Saccharomyces cerevisiae S288C: one gene and its partners. The gene in region 1 interacts genetically with each later gene. Each region holds a gene or a part of one and is shown on either strand. Other genes may lie near its edges.

Region 1 (7,246 bases):
AATTGACCATACTCGGCTGAAGCGTCTGTCCTCAACAAAGTACCAAAGTTATAGTCTTCGATTTTTTTCTCAAAAATTGTGAAGAACTTTCTCCATCTTTCCTTGGCTTCTTTTGTTTTTAATTCTTCCTCCGTAAACTTTTTGACCCTTTCAACATCTTTGTATTCTGGGAATCTCTCCATAAAATTCTCGTATATTTCGTCATCAAACTTAGTCAAACGTAACTTGGAACCGGGAACACTTGTTAATAGTTTCCAATATGTTTCCGCTTGTTCAACAGCAACAACAGCGAATTGTTTCTCGATATCTTCCAAGTTATCAGCGGTTTCTGCATTAAAAGTAGACATTGTTATATGATTGTTTCGTCGTGGTTCTTCTAGTCCATCTAACCAGATGTAGCTTTAACGGGTGAAAATTATCATTACTTCTGCTAGTCGAAGAATTTATGGATGTTCATCACTCCCTAGTACAACCTCTTACCCGGACAATTTCTTCAACAATGTTCATTCATCTTTAGTTTAATGAGGGATTTATAAGGTGAAAGCCAGTAGTAAAAGTGTATTTAACCCCTTTAAATTATCGCAAACTGTGCCTAGCAGTTCAGGAGTTATTTTTGGTATACTTTTGGAGCACGATTCATAACCTCATGTAAGAAATAATAATCAATCTTCGTGTATTTTTAAAATAATAATCCTTAACAACGACCTCTTACATAAATTTGTAGTTCAACATCGACAATTGTTAGCATCAAAAAGGATCCCTTAAGTTTAAGTTTACATAATTAATCTGCGTACCGTACATATATGAAAAGAACCAATATTAACTACTCTGTATGAAAAATGAATTAACCTAGAAAACAAAAAAGGAAGGAGAGCGTCATATGCTTGTCCTAAATTCTATCAACGTAGTAAACTCCATTTGAGGAGTGAATTAAAGAAAAAAGATGGAGTGAAACAAACGAAGTTAGCGAAGATAAAACACTAGCCAGTAGGCTTTCAATCTTCTTCATCGTCAGTATCAACTGGTTTTGGTGTACCTTTTGGCGATGACAACCACTCAATGTAACGTAGACGACGACGTTCGGCTTGCAGCTTCTTTTCATTTCTTGTCAATCTCTTCTTTCTTTGCTTGACCTTGATGTTAGCTGGAGAATCATCGTCATCTACAGATGGCTTGGCCAAGTTGGAGGCCTTTAGACCAACGGCATCAGCATTACCACCATCTTCGAATTTGGATTGGTCAACTTGTGCAGAGCCCTTTTGAACCATTTTACCGTTCTCCACAATCCATTGTTCAGGACATAAAGCACCAACAAATTCGTTATTATGCGAAATCATAACGACACCACCACTCCAGTCACGAATAGCAACGGCCAAAGCACCAAGAGAGTCTCTGTCCAAATAGTTGGTAGGTTCATCCAAAACAAGTAAATGAGGGTTGTTCCACATAGCACCGGCAATAACGACTTTAACTAATTGACCACCAGATAAAGAACCTAATGGAGTATGGTTAGCAATTTCAGAATCAAGACCAACGTCTTCAAAATGTTTGGTGATAACTGAAGGAATTAATTCACGGTAACCCAACCCTTCTCTGGAGGCTTCGTGATCGTCGAATTTTTGAACCAATTTTTCAAAGCCATGCTCGACCAAAACATCTTTTGGAACCCAGGAGTTGTATTTTGGTTTCCAGTATTTCCATTTGACCTCATATTGGAAAGATTTTTTCAACTTTTGTCTACCTACAATAGCTTCAATGGCTCTCTTACCTCTACCGTCATCAATGTCGATTTCCTTTGTCATCATTTCCTTTTCATCTTCGGATATTTTTCTGGATTCCTTCAATAAGACTTCACGGTCGTCACCGAATTGATAACGCCATTGCAAATATTGGTTTGCCGTCTTTTCCTTATGTTCATTGACGTGTTGCAATGCATGCTGAGCAATATAACCAATACGTAAATTTGGATGTTTTTCCACTTTACCTTCATTTGGAACCAATTCACCAGTTAATAGCTTGATCAAAGTGGATTTACCAGCACCGTTAGGACCTAAACAAGCCACACGAGAAGACAGAGACAATGAACAGGAGACATGGCTTAAGGAAGGCTTTTGGGCACCTGGATAAGAGAAAGTTACATCAGTCATTTTAGCGACGGCTCTAGTGTTAGACTTAACACCTGTTAAAATACCTGGGGGTGGGAAACGCATTTGAGCATTAGAATCTGTTAAGGTATAGTAAGATTTAGCTTCAGGTTTCTGCTCAACAAATGCTGCCAAGTTACCTTTGTAGTAAGCCAATTTCTTGTTTTCATAATGGATGATGTCAGTACAGACTGTATCTAAGAAACCAGAGTCATGCGAAACAATCAATGAAGTAATATCAGTATGTTCCAGTAAGTATTCTTCTAACCATTTAACGTTCGAAACATCTAAATGATTGGTAGGTTCATCCAGCAATAAAATATCAGCTTTTTGTAACATAGCTCTTGCCAATTCCAACTTCATTTTCCAACCACCAGATAAAGATCCAACAGTTTGTGCTCTTCTCTCTTCATCAAAACCGACAGATTCTAAAGCGGCTGCAATTTCCTCACGAGAAGTAGATTGCAGTTCTTCATCTAAAGCAATGAAGGAAACCAAGTCTAAATCACCTTCTTCACCTTGCAATTTATGTTCGACGAAACAGGTGCGTAATGTATCCTTGTCAGGAAAACCATCCAATTGACCATTAGCAATTGCTCTCATTAAAGTAGACTTACCAGCACCATTTCTACCACACAAACCGTAACGATGACCCTTTAGGAGACGAAGATTTGTTTTGTTCAAAAGCATTCTTGAACCATAAGCTAAGGAGAAATCAGTGTTGACAATCTCAATACCTTCGTCCTCATCTGCCCTTTCCTTTTCTTGGTAGAATAAAGCTCTCAAGTTATGGATAAAGTCTTGTTTGACAAATTCTCTTTGTGAATCTGAACCACCAAAAACGGCGGTCAAAAAATCTTCAAGTCTTTTCCAGTCGTTCACATTAGAATCCACGGTCAAAATCTTGCTCATATACTTGATAACAGTTTCGTCATTCATGTAAGGCTTGACAAAACAGGAATCATCAGCTTTAATGTCCTTGAGGTGATCAAGTAAGAAATCCCTACCTTCTTCTAAAGTCAGTCTGCCTGAGAATTTGTTTTCCTTATCAGCTTCGTCATCTTCTTTTAGAACGTTAAGGGCCTTTTCAGCCAATTCACGAACTTCAGGTAAGGACGCAGTATCAACAACCTTTTGGATACCGGGTAGTAGTAGAGGGATGAAGCTTTCAATTTCATTACGATTATTCACCAATCTTGTCAAATTCTCCACGACAATAACGGTTTGTCTTAATTGCTCTTGAGATGATGACGATAGGTTTAAAGATCTGTTTAGAATAGGAACTAACAAAGATAGTGAAGGTTCCGTAACTTCAGCGACAAATGTAACACTGGATAACGATTTTACAGATTCAGGAACCTTAGATGGATCTTGCAGGGTGTCCACGATCAATTTATAACGAGGAGACAAATCTAAGTTATCCAAAATAGAAACGTAGTCCAATAAAGTTTTGTAACCTTGTTTGGCCAATTCAGGTTTGAAATCAGTTGCTACATCGGTTAAAACTGGAACTGCATCTTTGAAAGTAAGTTCCAATAAATCGTTCGCCGAATCTTCTCTTATTCTATCTACAACGCTTAGAGCGGCCATTTTAGCTTGCCATTTGGCACCAGATGATAAGTAATCCAAAATCGTAGGCAGTACAAAACAGGTTAAAGCCTCCATTGGAAAGCAATTCAACAAAGAATCAATGGCATGTTGCGCGGCACGTTTGACTGTATTCTCTTTATCTGAAATACAGTCAAGTGCGACATTGAAGAATGGTAGCAAGTATGCTTCCTGTGGTGGCTTTCCACTGAAAAATTGAGCAATGTTGGAAATTATTAGCATGGCAGATTCTCTAACTAATGATGGATTCTTAGGTTTGATGAATTTAGATAGAACATCGACGATTTTCCACTCTTCAATTTTCTCACCCGTACTGTTACCTTCTTTGCCAAATTCTTCAATGATTAGTTTGATTTGATTTTTGCAATCAGTGATACTTTGACATTCAGGTATCTTTGACAAAAATTGAGAGATGGGTGTTAACTCTAAGTTCGACAGCTTTTCATTCAAAGAGGTCAAAGATGTAGTAGAAGCAGATGGAGTTGGAGTTCCACTTTGGTTGGGCGTCACAGCCGATTGTTTGTAAGTAGATTTTTGATAGCCCTGGCCATTGTATTTATTATAGTTATTGTAGTTGTTATAATTGTTGTAGTTGTTGTAGTTGTTGTAATTGTTGTAATTACTGTTATACGATTGGTAACCACCTTGTTGGTAGTTGCCCCCCTGTTTCCAATTACGCTGTTGTTGGTAGCTACTTTTTTTGGAAGCGTTATTACTACCGGCATCAGCAGCAGGGTTTTTAAAATAACCACCGAAGGGAGAAGCGACTAGATTTGGGTCCTTTGGTTGGTCGTCAAGGAAAGAGTTTAGATCCTTAAACTTCTTTGGAGGCATCCTGAGTTGAATTAGCACTGATTGTCGTTGTATTTACAGTTTACAAGATATAAATTATGCACTATAGATCGACGCATATGTATTATCTTAAATAGGTTGCAATATATTATTATTTTTTAACATTTATTGCGATGCTGCTGAAAATTTTTTTTCCACCTTGAAACTTTTCTTTTTCCATTGAAAAATTAGATGTGGTGTTTGGGTTTATTCCATTTGATCTTGTAACTTCTATACTAGTCACAACTAACAAGTCCAAAGTCAAGTGTACATAGTTATCCTATTTTCACCGTTATCACTTCAGTACCTTTTAATTTATATATATTAATGCACATGGCTCTGTTGTATCTTTCGAAGCAGTGTATGCCATTTTTTTCATGAGAAAGCGAAATTTGGCGTATTCGAAAAAAAGTGTAAACAAGAAGAAAACGTGCCAATTTTCAAGGCTTTATCGCAATTAAAGTGGCACAAAGGACCATAGTCACTGTGGAAAGGTAGTGGTATCTAATTGGATGCTGTAAGGATAGATTAGGTGCTTTTGATAACGTAAGAAAGGGACAAAAACAGAGAGGCAGCCAAAAATTACACAAAGCACAACAAAAATGAGAGCGTTGAGATTCCTGATTGAGAACAGAAACACTGTCTTTTTTACGCTCTTAGTAGCCTTGGTGCTTTCACTGTATTTATTGGTCTATTTATTTTCGCATACACCAAGGCCGCCATATCCAGAGGAGCTCAAATACATAGCTATTGATGAAAAAGGTCATGAAGTTAGTCGTGCCTTACCTAACTTGAATGAACACCAAGATGACGAAGAAATATTTTTATCTGTTGTTATCCCAAGCTATAATGAGACAGGTAGAATTTTACTAATGTTGACAGACGCAATCAGCTTTTTAAAGGAAAAATATGGTTCCAGATGGGAGATTGTCATAGTGGATGATGGTTCCACAGATAATACCACACAATACTGTTTGAAAATTTGTAAAGAACAGTTCAAATTGAACTACGAACAATTCAGAATCATCAAGTTTTCTCAAAACAGAGGCAAAGGTGGCGCAGTGAGACAAGGTTTTTTACATATTAGAGGTAAGTATGGTCTTTTTGCCGATGCTGATGGTGCTAGTAAGTTCAGTGATGTAGAAAAACTAATAGATGCTATTAGCAAAATTGAAACGTCTAGTACAGATCTAAAAACGACTAAACCAGCAGTAGCAATTGGTTCCAGAGCACATATGGTAAATACCGAAGCCGTCATAAAGAGATCAATGATAAGAAACTGCTTGATGTACGGTTTCCATACCTTAGTTTTCATCTTCGGCATCAGGTCTATCAAAGACACACAATGTGGATTCAAATTGTTCAACAGAGCCGCTATATTGAAAATTTTTCCGTATTTGCATACAGAGGGTTGGATCTTTGACGTTGAAATTTTGATCTTAGCCATCAGAAAAAGAATCCAAATTGAGGAGATACCAATTTCCTGGCATGAGGTTGATGGCTCTAAGATGGCTTTAGCTATTGATAGTATCAAAATGGCGAAAGACTTGGTTATTATAAGAATGGCCTATTTATTAGGGATATATAGAGATAATAAGAAATGTTAGAGTAATTATTTTTATGTTATTATTATCATTATTATTATTATTACATAAGCTTTCATAACAGCATTTGAGTAAACAAAAAAAATTTCTCGCTCAAGGGCATTTGCTTATTTTTTTTTGAAATGATTCAAATATTACATGACTTTCTTTGAACCTTCAAAAATTTCATATGATAAAGACGATAACTTTCTTCTAATAATTGTACCATTATTCAGAAACGTTCTAATAAGAGATGCATATTCTTTACTATCGTTCGTTATGTTATCAAAGGCGTTTAACAGTGCAGGCGTGTTGATTTCTAGTTCCACTTCGTGAGTGGTCTCTGATTGTCTACTTTTTGAATTTTGGTTATGATTTTCGACTTTTGTAATATCAATTCTGGTACAGGAATCATTATGAATGTAACTAACACGGTCTTTCGTCCTTTCACTAATTGGGCTTTGAGATTTATATTTTTCTGGCGGATCGTTGTCAGGTACAGGTAATTCCAAGTTTAGGGAGATTTTAACGTCGTAACTATCTTTTGGTGAATATAATAGTAGTTGGGCTACATGTCTTTTCTCTATAAATTGTCCTACCCTCCCAGTCTTAATATCTGTACTCATTCTCAAAAACCTTGGTCTTTGCGTGGATAGTCCGACTCTATAGACGGAATCTCTTGTCTGGGATTCAATAATACTGAATTTACCTGTATTTTCAGTGACTTCGCTAATACCACGAATATATTTGCTCAACTCTTTGAACAAAGATGCATCAATATTAGGCGTTAGATGGGCATCAAGCTCAGTGAAAACACATTGTGAAGAAACTGGTGGATTTACACGATCTGGGCCTTTCGCATCAATAATAACACCAAATTTCATTTCTAACTCAATGAAGGATCTTAGTTCAGGAGCAATTGAGTATATTGTAGCATAAACCCAGTCCTGTACTGACTTTGTTAAGTCATCATCGGGAATAATGTTTAAAAAAGATGGGTCAATTTTGAGATCTTTCACATTTATACTTTGAAGAGCTTTGATAGTAGGTTTCCATTTTTGTGCCCAAATTGGAACATTC
Region 2 (4,934 bases), on another chromosome or scaffold:
TTGTTCTATAGACCTCTTTTGTACCTTTTTGGTTGGGGGACTACCATCCTTGGCGTCAAAAATTACTTCATGTTCGGCATCAAAATCATAGGCGAGTCCATCATCTAAATCATCTGGATTAGACATTTTCAGCTCAATTGTCCTGACGATATGTTTAGAAGTTAGTAGCGGGGATCAAATTTCGACTTTCATTGCCTCATCCATGGTCATCTCAAAAATTTTCTCTTCAATTTTTTGGTAAATACCAAGTGCAATGAATGTTTGGGTGTCTTTGAATATTGAATATTACAGACTAAAAATATTATATATTGTAAATTAAAAGTTGATTATTAGTAAATGTACCTGAAATTTCTGTTTTCGATATCAGTCAAGTCCAAAAATTGGTACTTCTTCCTTTCTTGACCTTCTTGTTCCTTATCACGCTTTTCGTTCTCCTTCTTGCAAATGTAGCCAATGTATAATTGTAGGGGAACACAAACACACTGAGTGACCAATAAGGCAATCTTTGCTGGTATGTAACGTGGAGCAGAGTATGCCCTAAACATCTGTGGAGCAATAATACAGGAGACATTGTATACAATCATTGTAATAGCATTTCTAAAAACTCTTTTGGTGTAACCGGAGGTGTTGCATGAATTCCAGATGTAAATATTGGTAATGACACAGGAACCACTGTAAAGCAAGTACAGAGAAAATAAGTTACCGATCTTATGGGATAAGGGTAAACTGATAAGAACGATACAACCTATAATAGCTGGAATATACATAGATGTGGTTATGAGTGTGATATGACCCCAGCGGGACAACATTTGAGTTGTTATAAGAATAATCATAGCCGTAATGGCACCAATAGGCAACTGCAGTAATGCTGTTTCGTACTTGTCGAAACCAAAAGTACCAGTGATGGTCACTGAAAATGTACCAATGGCACCAGTAGAAATTTGAGAACATGCAGTTAATAAAAGCATCGGCCAAGTAAACTTATCATGAAGGAATAGTTCTTTAACTTGCTGCTTCTTAAACTTCTTTGTTTCCAGGCCAGTTTGGTTAGCTCTGATATGCTCAACAACTTGAATTTTTTCCTCTTTGTTTAGGAACCAAGCATTGGTGACGTTATCTGGAAGGTATAAGAATGTTAGAACACCAAACGCAACTGTAACCAGACCAACGACCAAAAACATTATTTGCCAAGAGGTGAAAGCGGTACCATGATAATGTAAAAAGCCAAAAGAAATTAACCCGCCCACAATATAACCTGTACCAGCCTGTGTGGCCCAGAATCCAATTCTTGCACTCTGTTCAGATTTAGTATAGTACATACCACTAATAGCGATACAACCAACTGCACTCGAGGATTCAAAGAGACCTAGGAGAGTACGAACGACCATCAACGAGGCGTACGTCTTACAAGCAGCATGGCAAGCCAACACGATACCCCAGACGGTAATAAAAGTACCTAGGATTTTGGAAATGGGGAATTTTTGAATTAAGTAAGTGACCACAGGTTCCATGAAAATGTAAGCAGCAGAAAAGATAGTACCCAAATTAGAAAATTCGTTACCTTTCAAATGATCTTTGATACCCATAGATGCAGCGTAGTTCAGCAGAGCCTTATCCAAAAACATCAGAAGATATGTACAGCATAAAAAGGGCAGGATGAAGAGGTCAACTTTTCTCAGGACCTTAGGAGATAATTCATGGGAACCATAGAAGTTGGCTTCTTCGCCTGCTACAACATCGTCTTCATTAGCCGTGGAGCTTTCGTCGAGACCGTTCTGTTTCAGGAATCTTAAAGCAACGTCCGCATCGTCTACATTAATGCTCGAGGTACTTACGGAACAACTATCAGCGTTAGCTGCCTTCTTCTCCACGTCCATGGATCGTTGTGACATGTTTTTCATTGTATTGATTTGCTGACACTCTCACTACTTCTCAGCAACAACAAAGTAAACTTTAATCTATCATACTTTGAACTATCTTATATACGTGTATATATGCACCCGCTGAGATGCTCATCGAGATTGCTCATCACCTCTGAAAAGGCTGTCTGTCACCACCATGTTTTCCGCCGGACCAAATGACAGTTCCTTAAGGGAAACTCAAAGAGACTATATTAACTAAGGAGGATCAACCAGATATGCAAAAAAAACAAATAGTTATGACGGCACTCGAACCAACCAAACACCACCCTATAATTAATGTTGATAATGATAGCGACTCGAAATTTGCCAATAAAACCTGTCTATTACGCGTCATCTACTTGAGAGTAATATACTGGAAGTTCGAGATACTCCGCACAGGGTCTGGGTGGTAGGTTTCTTTGCTATTGTATAGTTTTTCAAGATACGTAAAAGGTCTTCATCTTATCTTATATAGATGCAGGTGATTACTAGTGGGGCAAGTCGGCAGCTAATTGCGTGTGTGCGGAAGGATTGTGCAGTAGAATGGCTCCTGTAGTTATTTCAGAATCTGAAGAGGATGAGGATAGAGTTGCCATTACTAGAAGAACTAAGAGACAAGTTCATTTTGATGGCGAGGGAGATGATCGTGTAGACCAACAGCAACAGCAGCACAGTTCAAGCCACAGGGATAGGGATAAACATGTGCAGCGTAAGAAGAAGAAAAGGCTCTCGAATAGAAACCTGCAAGGTTCAAATGGTGGGTACGCTTGGGAGGATGAGATCAAGAGAAGTTGGGATTTGGTGAAAGTGGACGATGAAGGGGATATGGCATCTCTTGTGGCTAGCATAGTCGAGGCCAGAAAGAAACGTACTGCTAAGAAAAACATAACGCCATACCAAAGAGGTATTATCAGAAGTTTAATATTAACACTAGATTGTAGTGAAGCTATGTTGGAAAAGGATTTGAGACCAAACAGGCATGCCATGATTATCCAGTACGCCATAGATTTTGTCCATGAATTTTTCGACCAAAATCCGATATCTCAAATGGGTATTATCATAATGAGAAACGGTTTGGCACAACTGGTCAGCCAAGTTAGCGGAAACCCGCAGGATCACATTGATGCGTTGAAATCCATCAGGAAACAAGAACCGAAAGGAAACCCTTCATTGCAAAATGCATTGGAAATGGCAAGAGGCCTTTTATTGCCTGTTCCTGCGCATTGTACAAGGGAAGTACTGATTGTATTTGGTAGTCTTTCCACAACTGATCCTGGAGATATTCACCAAACTATCGATTCGTTAGTTTCTGAGAAAATTAGAGTGAAGGTTTTGGGGTTATCAGCTCAAGTGGCCATATGTAAAGAATTATGCAAGGCAACGAATTATGGTGATGAATCCTTCTATAAAATTTTACTCGATGAAACTCACTTAAAGGAGCTATTTAACGAGGCTGTTACCCCTTTACCCGTTAACAAAATTAATAAGGGTTTCACACTCGTAAAGATGGGGTTTCCGACAAGGATATTCGAAGATACTCCAACTTTTTGTTCGTGCCATTCCAAGTTAGTTTACGGCGGATACTTCTGTCCCAATTGTCATAGTAAAGTTTGTTCATTGCCCACAGTCTGTCCATGTTGTGACTTGATGCTAATCCTTTCTACCCACCTGGCCAGATCATATCACCATCTGATGCCGTTAAAAACATTTGCAGAAGTACCTACAACAGAAAAATTTCGATCAGAAGACTGCTTTAGTTGCCAGTCAAGATTTCCCATACTGAAAAACCATAAAAATGGTAAACTACTGACAAGTTCTCGCTATCGTTGTGAAGATTGTAAACAAGAATTTTGTGTTGACTGCGATGTGTTCATCCATGAAATCCTTCATAACTGCCCAGGCTGTGAATCCAAGCCCGTAATAACTTAACGAAAATCTGTCAGCGTATAACACGATCACTCTTCCATCATATAACAAATCCAAGTAGTAGAGAACGAAATAGTTTTTGATGGACATATAACTACATAATTATTACAAAAATAACCTCATTTAATGTCCTATTGTTTATTACGAGAAAATCTTAATAGCACTTACGGCATTAAGAATATTTATTACTATTTTCAATTTATCAGGCACTTATTCAACTAAAAAAAAAAAAAAAATTCTTTGTTTTACAATAATATTAATAATTATTTTGAATAAATATCGTTACATTCTATCATAATGTCCTCTACACGGTACAACCAAACTCACAATTCTATTTGAGTGGGCGAGAGGTTTGAATTTTTTCTTACTGGGCTGTGTGTAGGGGTCATAGATGTCGCTTGTTTGAATGAGTGAGGGTTGGAAGGTGCAATAGGTTTCTGTGGAGATTTAACCAAAACACTGTCGGTCATCCGGCTTTCTCCCTGCTTCCAGCTGTCAAAATCAATCAAGGCTTGCATACATCCCCACTCTGTAATTTTCTTACTAAGCCAGTGTAAATTCACTGGTTTAGTCAGGTAGTCGTTACAACCAGAAAGAAGTGCTTTTCTTTTATCCATCTGAGAGTTAGATGCGGTCAATGCTACAATAATCACGGGCGCCTGAGAGAATCTCTTTGAAGTACCTTTTTCAAGATTGGAGTGTGAGTTATTGAGACTTTTTTGAATGCCAATGCCATTTTGTTTTTCGAAGTCCCTAATCTGCTTGGCAGCTTCTATACCAGACAAGACAGGCAGCTGTAAATCCATAAATATTAAATGAAGACCGCCTTCCTTCCAAATATTAACAGCTTCTTGACCATTTTTAGCCAGTTTATATGAGATTTTGTGTTTCCTCAGAAAGGAACCTAAGATAGCTTGGTTGATGACGTTGTCTTCAACTATTAAAACATTAATTTTGGGGAAAACTTTTTCACTTGTGGTGGTAAAAAGGTTTGGTAAAGGATCTGGTGGAGAGGAAACAGCAAAAGGTGCGTTATAAAGCGAGTTTGAGTAATGCGGCGTTTGACTACTTGTTAATATTGGTGATGCGGGCGTAACGTCTTCTTTT
Region 3 (4,687 bases), 560 kb from region 1:
ATCTGGCTTGGTAGCGGGTTCTAGAGTTAGATTGTACTGGAAACCGTGACATCCACCACTTTCCACACTAATTCTTAAATTTTCCTTACTATTGCGGTAGATCTCAGCTAGTCTGTTGGAAGCCCTCTCAGAAATAGATAAGTTTAACCCAGGCGTCTTATTTATTATTCTTTTCGGTGTGATCAACGGCTCCTTAGTGACCAGATCCGAGTAAAATGCTTTGCTATGAAATAAAAAACATGTTAGGGGAAACTGGCGTAAAGTTGTGGAGGGACGTCTAAAGTTTAGTCTGGTAAACAATAATTTAGCCTGCATACCTTCTTTACTGTGCAATCACATGTACAAGGCTCTCTAGGATCTCGACTTACTTGCAAGATGTTTAAACAAGTGACACCGGCGGATGGTATTATTCATTAGTAATACTAGTTGGAATTGGAATTTGAACAAACAGTACAGTCGGGTAACCGCTCGAACTTGAAACTGTACATAAAACACCCTTCTGAGCAGTTAATCAAAGTGAAATTATTGCCGTTTTCCAGGTCGATTAAATCATTATAAATCTTAACCATCTGCGTACAGCATGTCGCTGCAACCATCGCATTCGTAGTGCTTACACTAGGTATGATACTCTTTATTATACCCAGGATAAAACTTGTTGATAATTTTTCTGTTGAGATGCTAAATTGGGCAGCCCTTTCGCAGCACTTCTCCAGCAGAAATTCCATATCCGCCGTAGACTCAATATTTAAATCAGGGTATTGTATAGTTGAGACATACTCCACAACATGCTCAATGCAGCGAGGATTGTTGGCGATTGTACACATTGGCACAGTATCCTGCTGCGAGGGCAAGGTATCAATGGAGCACTCCCAGCATGCAGTGATGCCTGGAATGATTGTTTTTACATGTCCCTTGAGCCCCTCTGTTCCACCATCTATGAACGGGATGCAAATTTCATAATTGGACTCCAAGGTAAGCTTCACGAGAGTCTCATTGATGAAGCGACGAGGTTCAATGGCGTCCAGCCCCGAGATTATGAACTGGAAGTCTTTGTAAAAGCTCGGGGGCAAAGTGGTCAGGTCCTGTACGTGCGCCACAACTTCCAATTGAGGGAACCGCGTGTTTACATACTGGGCTGCCACTTGAGCTTTCGGTTTGCCTATGTCCTTATCACAAAAAAGAAATTGTCTATTAAGGTTGGTTAGCTCGATTGTGTCTATATCTACAATATGAACCTGTTTAACAAAGCTTAACATTGTCAAATTCTTCAGGATTTCGCATCCTAGACCACCTGCGCCTAACACCAATATCTTGCAGTCCATCCTCGTCGCTTTATTATCGATAATATAGGTATACAATATCTCATTGATTTGTTTTTTAAGTTTAAAAAAAAGGGCTTAAAAAACGACTATGCTGAAACATTATACAATAATACATATTTTTTTTTAAAGGAATGATATTATTTGTGAGGTGAATATATACGTGAAAATTGAGAATATAATTTTATATATTCAAATAGAATTTGTAGACTGTTTCTTTTTTCTTTTCTTTCTTTTTTGTCTCTGGGTACTTTGTTTTAATTTTGACTTTTATTTGCTGTTATTTTACATATTTTTCAATTGTTCTTTTGAGGCGATTTAAACTTTTATTAAACAGGAGCCAAATGCATAAATTTTTAGTTAAAGGGAATATAGTATAATATAATATAACGGAAAGAAGAAATGGAAAAAAAAAATCATTTCGGAGAAACTAGGCTAGTTTTAGCGGTGACCTCAGTGTTGCTTGAGTTTATAATTTGATGTAGAGGAATGTTTTGGTTTGGTATATGAGGAATGTGATGATGCGTAGGGGTAGTTGTGGACAATAGATTGTTCCTGGTGTGAGACAGTGGTTTGACAATATAAGTTGGTCCCATCTGCTTTAGCTGCTGGTACTGATCCAGTTGAAAATCTTGCAGAGAAGGTAATAGAGGGGGAGGTAAATATTGATTTGAATTGTTGATACTGTTTAATCTGTTGTTCTCCAGTACAGAGGAGTTCGGAGAAGAGGAGAATTTCCCAGGAGAAGATGTCGCAGTTGTTGTGGATGTGGTAGTTGTAGTTACCGGTGTTTGACTGCTGTTGTTGATAATGGATGAAATAAAGGGCAATTGAGGGGTCGAGTTAGCCCTTGGTTGAGCTTGAGCGACGTTGAGGTAATGATGTCTCGTTGAAGGGTCGTGTGGAGCTGAGTAATATGGAATAGAATTTAGTTGAGATGACAGCTGTGGTAGGTCTCTTGCCGTCTTATCATGCGTCAAAGGTAGTCCACTTAAAGATCTGGAGACCATATAGTTAGAAGTATTAACAGAAGGAATAGGCAACCTCTTAAGATCATTGTTCAATTGGAACTGATAGCTGTTCGAGCTTGACACCGAGGAAGATGGTGAAAGAGAATGTGCTCTTTTCATAAGAACTATATTGTTGTTAAAGGGCTGTTGTAATTGCGGTTGTGACTGTTTCTGCTGCTGCTGTTCTTTCTGTTGTTGCTGCTGCTGTTGCTCGATTTCCTTCAAAAGTAGTTGCTTCTTCTTAGACTTTCTTACCGGCTTGTATTTGTATTCAGGATACTTCCTTTCATGTTCTAGTTTCTCCTTCTCCGCTAGATTTTCCCAGTGTGCCTTATCTTCCGGTTGTAAGCCCTTCCACTTCGTACCAATAATTTTAGAAATGTTTGAATTATGGGGTATTTCCACACCTTGAGCGGTCCATTCGTCTATTAAGATCCTGTGGTAGTGCTGTCTGAACAGAATAAATGCGTTCTTGGGTCTTGGAATCTTAGGTGTAGAGGATTTAGGATTCATTGTTGATTGTCTAACTGCGTTCTTTTGTGTGAAGAAGTATTAGTATTTTCTGGAATAATGAGGGGTGAAGAGGGAGAGTTAAGACACCGTAAATGTATAATTATATGCGAAAATTATAAAAGAAAGCAATGAGAAGAAACATTAAAACTGGAAAATAGTGCTATATTTAAGTAAAACTTCTGAAACTACAATTAGCAAATAAGATAGAGCAGAAAAGGAAAATGCAAGAGCGAAAAAAAAAAAACTTTGTTTAAGACCGTTACATTACGCAAAGTGAAAACGAAGAAAATATAATAGCAAAGAGCACTATAATAGTAAGAACCTACACACAAAAGACACAAAGAACACCGGCAAGACAATACGAGGAAGAACAACAAAAGAGGCAGCAACAATAGGCCCTTTTCTTCTTTGTCAGCAATCGCCAAGTTCTAGAACAAGGTTTTCCTACCAGATTTCCAATTGTTTTGCATAGTAATTCCCGGTAGTTCCACGCGGCCGATACCTCGACAGGCCAATGATATCCAGGGGATTTGTCGGCCGAGCCGAAGATCACCTGCCTCTCCGACGTCGGCTTTGCAGCTGCGGCAGCTCCTAGCGTAAGTAGCAGGAAAAAAAAGAAAGAAAATACTTTAAAGTACGCCTGCACCTGGGTTGCTCTAAACGGGAACAAGAGCCGGTTCCGATAACCGCACACTATTATTTCTAATCCCTCTACGTAATTGCTAAGCACACATGACTTCATACTTGCGTCACCCCGATTTTATTATTCCCTCCGGTTAAGCAAACGCCGCACCCCTGAGTCCGCCAGACCGGCCGCAAGAGAACGCAGTGTGTGTTCCTGTCTCTTTGCACGAACAAAGGAGATAGGACGGCACCCAGGCTCGCTAGGCGGCTACATGACTAAATGCCCAAGTTTCGTGCATTATGTAGAAGAAAATAGACGTCTGTGTAATCATTTCTTGAAGCAAAGCAATATTTGCAGGTTGAATGTAGGTCAACTGCATACTGGGAAGCGTTTTCTGACCGCTTCGGAAGCGTGAGCGGTCCGTCTCTTACAACTCGTTTGGAGCTACATGGTGAGACAACATTGGCGCGCACGCCAATGTTGTCCTTCTCAATGGCCATGCAAACACTGCTATTTTATCGATAACTGTTGTGATCTTGGCTTAGTTCTTGTGCTTTTTACACCCCGCAGTAGCGCTAGTTGTATGATTGCGGTTATCTGTCGCTTCTGTTCTCGTAACGCGCAACATGGAAGAAAAAATACTGAAAAATAATTTTAACAAAAGCTTGAGCAGAATGGGCATGGTACAACATCCATAGGCAAAAAAAAGGAATACATATACTCCGCTGCTACCTCCTCAACTAAACAATGACTTTGAATAACGTTGCAAGGCCCGACCTTTGTGTTTCGTATGTTTTTCACCGACAATTTTCTTTCAAATTTGCTGATATTGCCAATATATACTAACAGTTCAACCGCTCCCTTTCTACCACAGGTACAAGAAAATTGCGCCACCAAAAGGACTATATTCTGCCACACCAAGCATATCTGGTGTGGTTAACCAATCCATGCCTATGGCCGCTATTTTCTTGAGGAACAAGTTCATTGCCTGGTTCTCCCTGATTCAGAGTGTACACTACTACCTGAACACCGACGAAGACATCATCGTTGCCTATAAGGAAAATAAGGCACCATCTCCAATGGACCAGCCTCCTGCAATCAAGCTATTCATGAGTTTAATCGGGTTATGCGTGTGTTACATGAACTTAGTTTTCCCTCAACAAATAGCTCAACCATCGTCTAGCGGCTCTAAAGGTAATACTGAAACGACAATTGAGACA
Region 4 (3,898 bases), on another chromosome or scaffold:
CGTGCCAGTTCTTTCCTGATTTAGATACCACTTCGGATGAGCATCGCATCTTGTTATCCTCATTTACATCTTCCCAAAAACCTGAAGATGAGACCATATATATTAGCAAAATATCCACGTTGGGTCATATAAAATGGTCATCTTTAAATAATTTCGACATGGACGAAATGGAATTCAAACCGGAGAACTCGACAAGGTTTCCCTCCAAACACTTAGTAAATGACATCAGTATTTTCTTCCCAAACGGGGAATGCAATAGGGCAAGATATTTGCCTCAAAATCCAGATATTATAGCCGGCGCCTCTTCAGATGGTGCAATCTACATATTCGATAGAACAAAACACGGCTCTACTAGAATAAGACAGTCCAAAATTTCACATCCCTTTGAGACAAAGCTGTTTGGTTCACATGGTGTTATTCAAGACGTGGAGGCAATGGATACTTCTTCGGCAGATATAAATGAGGCGACTTCTTTAGCCTGGAACTTGCAGCAGGAGGCCCTTTTACTTTCTTCTCACTCCAACGGCCAAGTTCAAGTTTGGGACATTAAACAATATTCGCATGAGAACCCTATAATAGATTTACCCTTAGTGTCAATAAACAGCGACGGAACAGCGGTGAATGATGTAACTTGGATGCCAACACACGATTCCCTCTTTGCTGCTTGTACTGAAGGAAATGCGGTCTCCCTATTAGATCTGAGGACTAAGAAAGAGAAGCTCCAGAGTAACCGTGAAAAACACGATGGTGGAGTAAACTCCTGTAGATTTAACTATAAGAACTCTTTAATTCTAGCATCTGCAGATTCAAATGGGAGGCTAAATTTATGGGATATTAGAAACATGAACAAAAGCCCAATCGCTACCATGGAGCACGGTACTTCCGTTTCAACTTTAGAATGGAGTCCAAATTTCGATACTGTATTGGCAACGGCTGGCCAAGAAGATGGGTTAGTCAAGCTATGGGATACCTCCTGCGAAGAAACTATATTTACCCATGGTGGTCATATGCTCGGTGTGAACGACATTTCGTGGGACGCTCATGACCCTTGGTTAATGTGCAGTGTGGCAAATGATAATTCAGTTCACATATGGAAACCTGCAGGAAACCTTGTTGGACATTCGTGACCTAAACGTTCCTTGAAGCCAGGCATGCTAATGGCTCCTGTCCCTATTACATATTCAACCATTTGATAGACGAATATACAAACATAAATAGAGTTTATAAAATATGCTCAAGACTTGCTACAATAAACACTACGCTCAGACTTCATGCTGATTTCAATATTGTATTTCGAAGAAAGTGGTTGCTCATTTATTACCTTTGAACTTTCACTTTGGTATTTTGATATTCTCGAGGTTTCCCAGTCTGGCTTGAACTTCAGTTCGCCTTTTGAAAGTGGCAGGATTATAAGGTATATTTCTGTAATGTGATGGTGCAGTGCCTCTTGGATTCCAGTCTTTATCGTAAAATATACTTCTTATACCGAGTTCACCGTTCTCTTTTTCACGACCCAGTGAGTGTCCAGAATCAGCTTCTAAATGACCTTTTGATACAGTCTGCAGAAGCTGTCCCTCTTTATTTCTCTCTAGGTTTCTAGAAAGTGATTCAACTTGATTTCGTACCTTTTTCTTATTTGGGCGTTGGACCTTGGAAACCCTTCTTTCTGTTAAGTTATTACTTGGGTCCTTCTTTTGATCCATTAAGCTCAAACGTATATAGTATAAAATGATGGAATGCGAGAACTAAAAGGATTGGATGACTTTGAAGGTAATATATTTCCTTGATATTTGAAAATAATCAAAAAAATTTGCTGAAGGCCTTTGCAAAGTGTCTAAAAGTACGTTCTGTTCAAAAAAGTAAGGAAACTCAATATACAAAAATTGCCTTTTCGTCAAAGTTAAGGATTTTAATATTGAAATATTTCATCGATATAAGAGAACCCCGAGCAAGAAGAACAAAAGAAAAACATAAAGCAACGTGGAATATGTCACAATCTACTGCATCACTGGTACCAGAGGGCAATCAAGGCTCCCTCCAAGAAGATGTTAGTTTTGATTTCAATGGTGTACCTGGCCAGGCTTTAGATGCCGTGCGCATGCGTTTGGCTCAATTAACTCATTCATTGAGGAGAATCAGAGACGAAATGTCCAAAGCCGAACTGCCACAATGGTATACACTCCAATCACAACTGAATGTCACATTATCCCAGCTCGTTTCTGTAACCTCCACTCTACAACATTTCCAAGAAACTTTAGACTCTACAGTGGTTTACCCTTTGCCTAAATTCCCAACCACCTCTCATGAAAGTTTGGTCACTACCCTTTTGAGGAAGAAGAATATTCCTGAAGTGGACGAATGGATGAAATATGTTAGGGAAACATCTGGAGTAACTACAGCCTTGCTAAAGGATGAAGAAATAGAAAAGCTGCTGCAACAGGACAGAGAAATAACGAATTGGGCGCGCACTACGTTTAGAAACGAATATGGAAAGCACGATTTCAAAAATGAAGAATCCCTAAGCGAAGAACACGCTTCACTTCTAGTACGAGATAGCAAACCTTCGAAACCTTTCAATGTGGATGATGTTCTAAAGTTCACCTTCACAGGGGAAAAGCCCATTATTACGGGATCTACTTCAACATCATCTAGTAATTGAATTTTACTTCACGCTACTGATATTTTAAAACATTTTATTGTTACTAGTGACCTGGTAAAAATATTTACAAGTATAAAAGGACCAATTTACTGAATGAAGTAAATAAGGATCATTGATATGTTACGATAAATAATGCAAAGTAAAGGAGAAGAAACGAAGGGGTCCAAACCTTAGTAGGTTAGCTTTCTATAAACTTTGACAGGCTTTATATCCTTACAAAATGCACTTTTTTCATACTTTTTTGTTAGAGTATGTCTTGGCCCTAAAGTGAATTTAGAGTTTTTTAGATTTCAAGGCTACGATAGTAGCCTTATAACAATTTCCCATGTACCAAACATAATTATACTGTTCGGAACTGTTCTCATCAAATGCGGGGTCAACCCACTATACATTGAAAAGAGTCCCTCTTCTTTAATTATAACTTTGAAACTTTGTACTAAACCTGTATACTTTCGTTTACCATTTTCCTTGGGCGTTTGTCTCAATCTCGTCCTGACAACTTCGTGCGGATATGTTGCTATACTAGCCACAAATTTTGCAAGACCAGCGCTTCCTGATCTTTGACACCACTCCTTGACTTTCTCTGATGTGCTTTTTGTACCTTCGGCTTGATATCCAAATTTCTCAATAGACCTTTCCTTTATTAACCTCTTCATTTGTTCATATAATAGCCATTGAAGTATACCTTCAACAGAACCCAAATAAGAGGCACTCAACCCTTTGTACAAGCCAGTGAAACCCTCATTTCTTATAACACTTTTTAAGCAATCCCAAGAGTTCTTGTACTGTCGGACCGATGTTTTCCCAGCTTTATCAAGCTGTACTCTTGTTTTAATCAACCAAATAGGATTGGTTGCCGTCGCCGTTGCCCAACCTGCGGTTGCAGCAGCCATCAGATGAATCATAGGTGTTTCTTGGCCATTATTGAACGCTTTAGCATACATATCTTTAGTAGTTCCATAGGTAAAAAAATTAATACTTCTTGCTGGAATAACCCCGACTAAATTGGGGCCCAAACCCTTAAACAAGCTTCTAAAACCCTCTTGTTTGTACACATTGCCTATGATTCCCAGTGTTTCCTTGAAATGGGTTCCTGCTTGAATGACATAATTAATACTCTTTGGACGAGTAGATCCTTTACTGATATTAACAGCTTGTGATTTGTATGCTTTCAAAAATATATCACTTTGTAATCGGGTCTTCACCAAATCAAAGGGACACGTAACAACTGCACCCGCC

The links.
Region 2: mutations in NEW1 (region 1) and SSL1 together harm fitness more than expected from each alone (negative genetic interaction), as found in Saccharomyces cerevisiae (2 studies listed by BioGRID).
Region 3: mutations in NEW1 (region 1) and ROX1 together harm fitness more than expected from each alone (negative genetic interaction), as found in Saccharomyces cerevisiae (3 studies listed by BioGRID).
Region 4: mutations in NEW1 (region 1) and AIM4 together harm fitness more than expected from each alone (negative genetic interaction), as found in Saccharomyces cerevisiae (2 studies listed by BioGRID).

What each region holds. Positions count from the first base shown.
Region 1 is NC_001148.4:119,107-126,352, reverse strand, and holds NEW1 (New1p), read right to left. Parts: upstream 4,587-7,246; coding exon 996-4,586; downstream 1-995. Other genes in the region: ribosome-associated Tef1p biogenesis chaperone CHP1, read right to left, coding at 1-347; ALG5 (dolichyl-phosphate beta-glucosyltransferase), read left to right, coding at 5,186-6,190; CET1 (polynucleotide 5'-phosphatase), read right to left, coding at 6,322-7,246.
Region 2 is NC_001144.5:157,605-162,538, forward strand, and holds SSL1 (TFIIH/NER complex subunit SSL1), read left to right. Parts: upstream 1-2,444; coding exon 2,445-3,830; downstream 3,831-4,934. Other genes in the region: CMS1 (Cms1p), read right to left, coding at 1-126; THI73 (Thi73p), read right to left, coding at 330-1,901; mitogen-activated protein kinase kinase kinase SSK1, read right to left, coding at 4,151-4,934. UniProt on the Saccharomyces cerevisiae protein: Component of the general transcription and DNA repair factor IIH (TFIIH) core complex, which is involved in general and transcription-coupled nucleotide excision repair (NER) of damaged DNA and, when complexed to TFIIK, in RNA transcription by RNA polymerase II.
Region 3 is NC_001148.4:677,848-682,534, reverse strand, and holds ROX1 (Rox1p), read right to left. Parts: upstream 2,843-4,687; coding exon 1,736-2,842; downstream 1-1,735. Other genes in the region: ISA2 (Isa2p), read right to left, coding at 1-315; NEDD8-activating protein UBA3, read right to left, coding at 423-1,322; YPR064W (uncharacterized protein), read right to left, coding at 3,165-3,584; YPR063C (uncharacterized protein), read left to right, coding at 4,215-4,255, 4,342-4,687. UniProt on the Saccharomyces cerevisiae protein: Transcription factor that represses the expression of HEM13, COX5B, ANB1, CYC7 or AAC3 (hypoxic function). Binds to the DNA sequence 5'-RRRTAACAAGAG-3'.
Region 4 is NC_001134.8:607,843-611,740, reverse strand, and holds AIM4 (Aim4p), read right to left. Parts: upstream 1,704-3,898; coding exon 1,332-1,703; downstream 1-1,331. Other genes in the region: MSI1 (Msi1p), read left to right, coding at 1-1,127; RNA polymerase II mediator complex subunit MED8, read left to right, coding at 1,988-2,659; RIM2 (Rim2p), read right to left, coding at 2,956-3,898.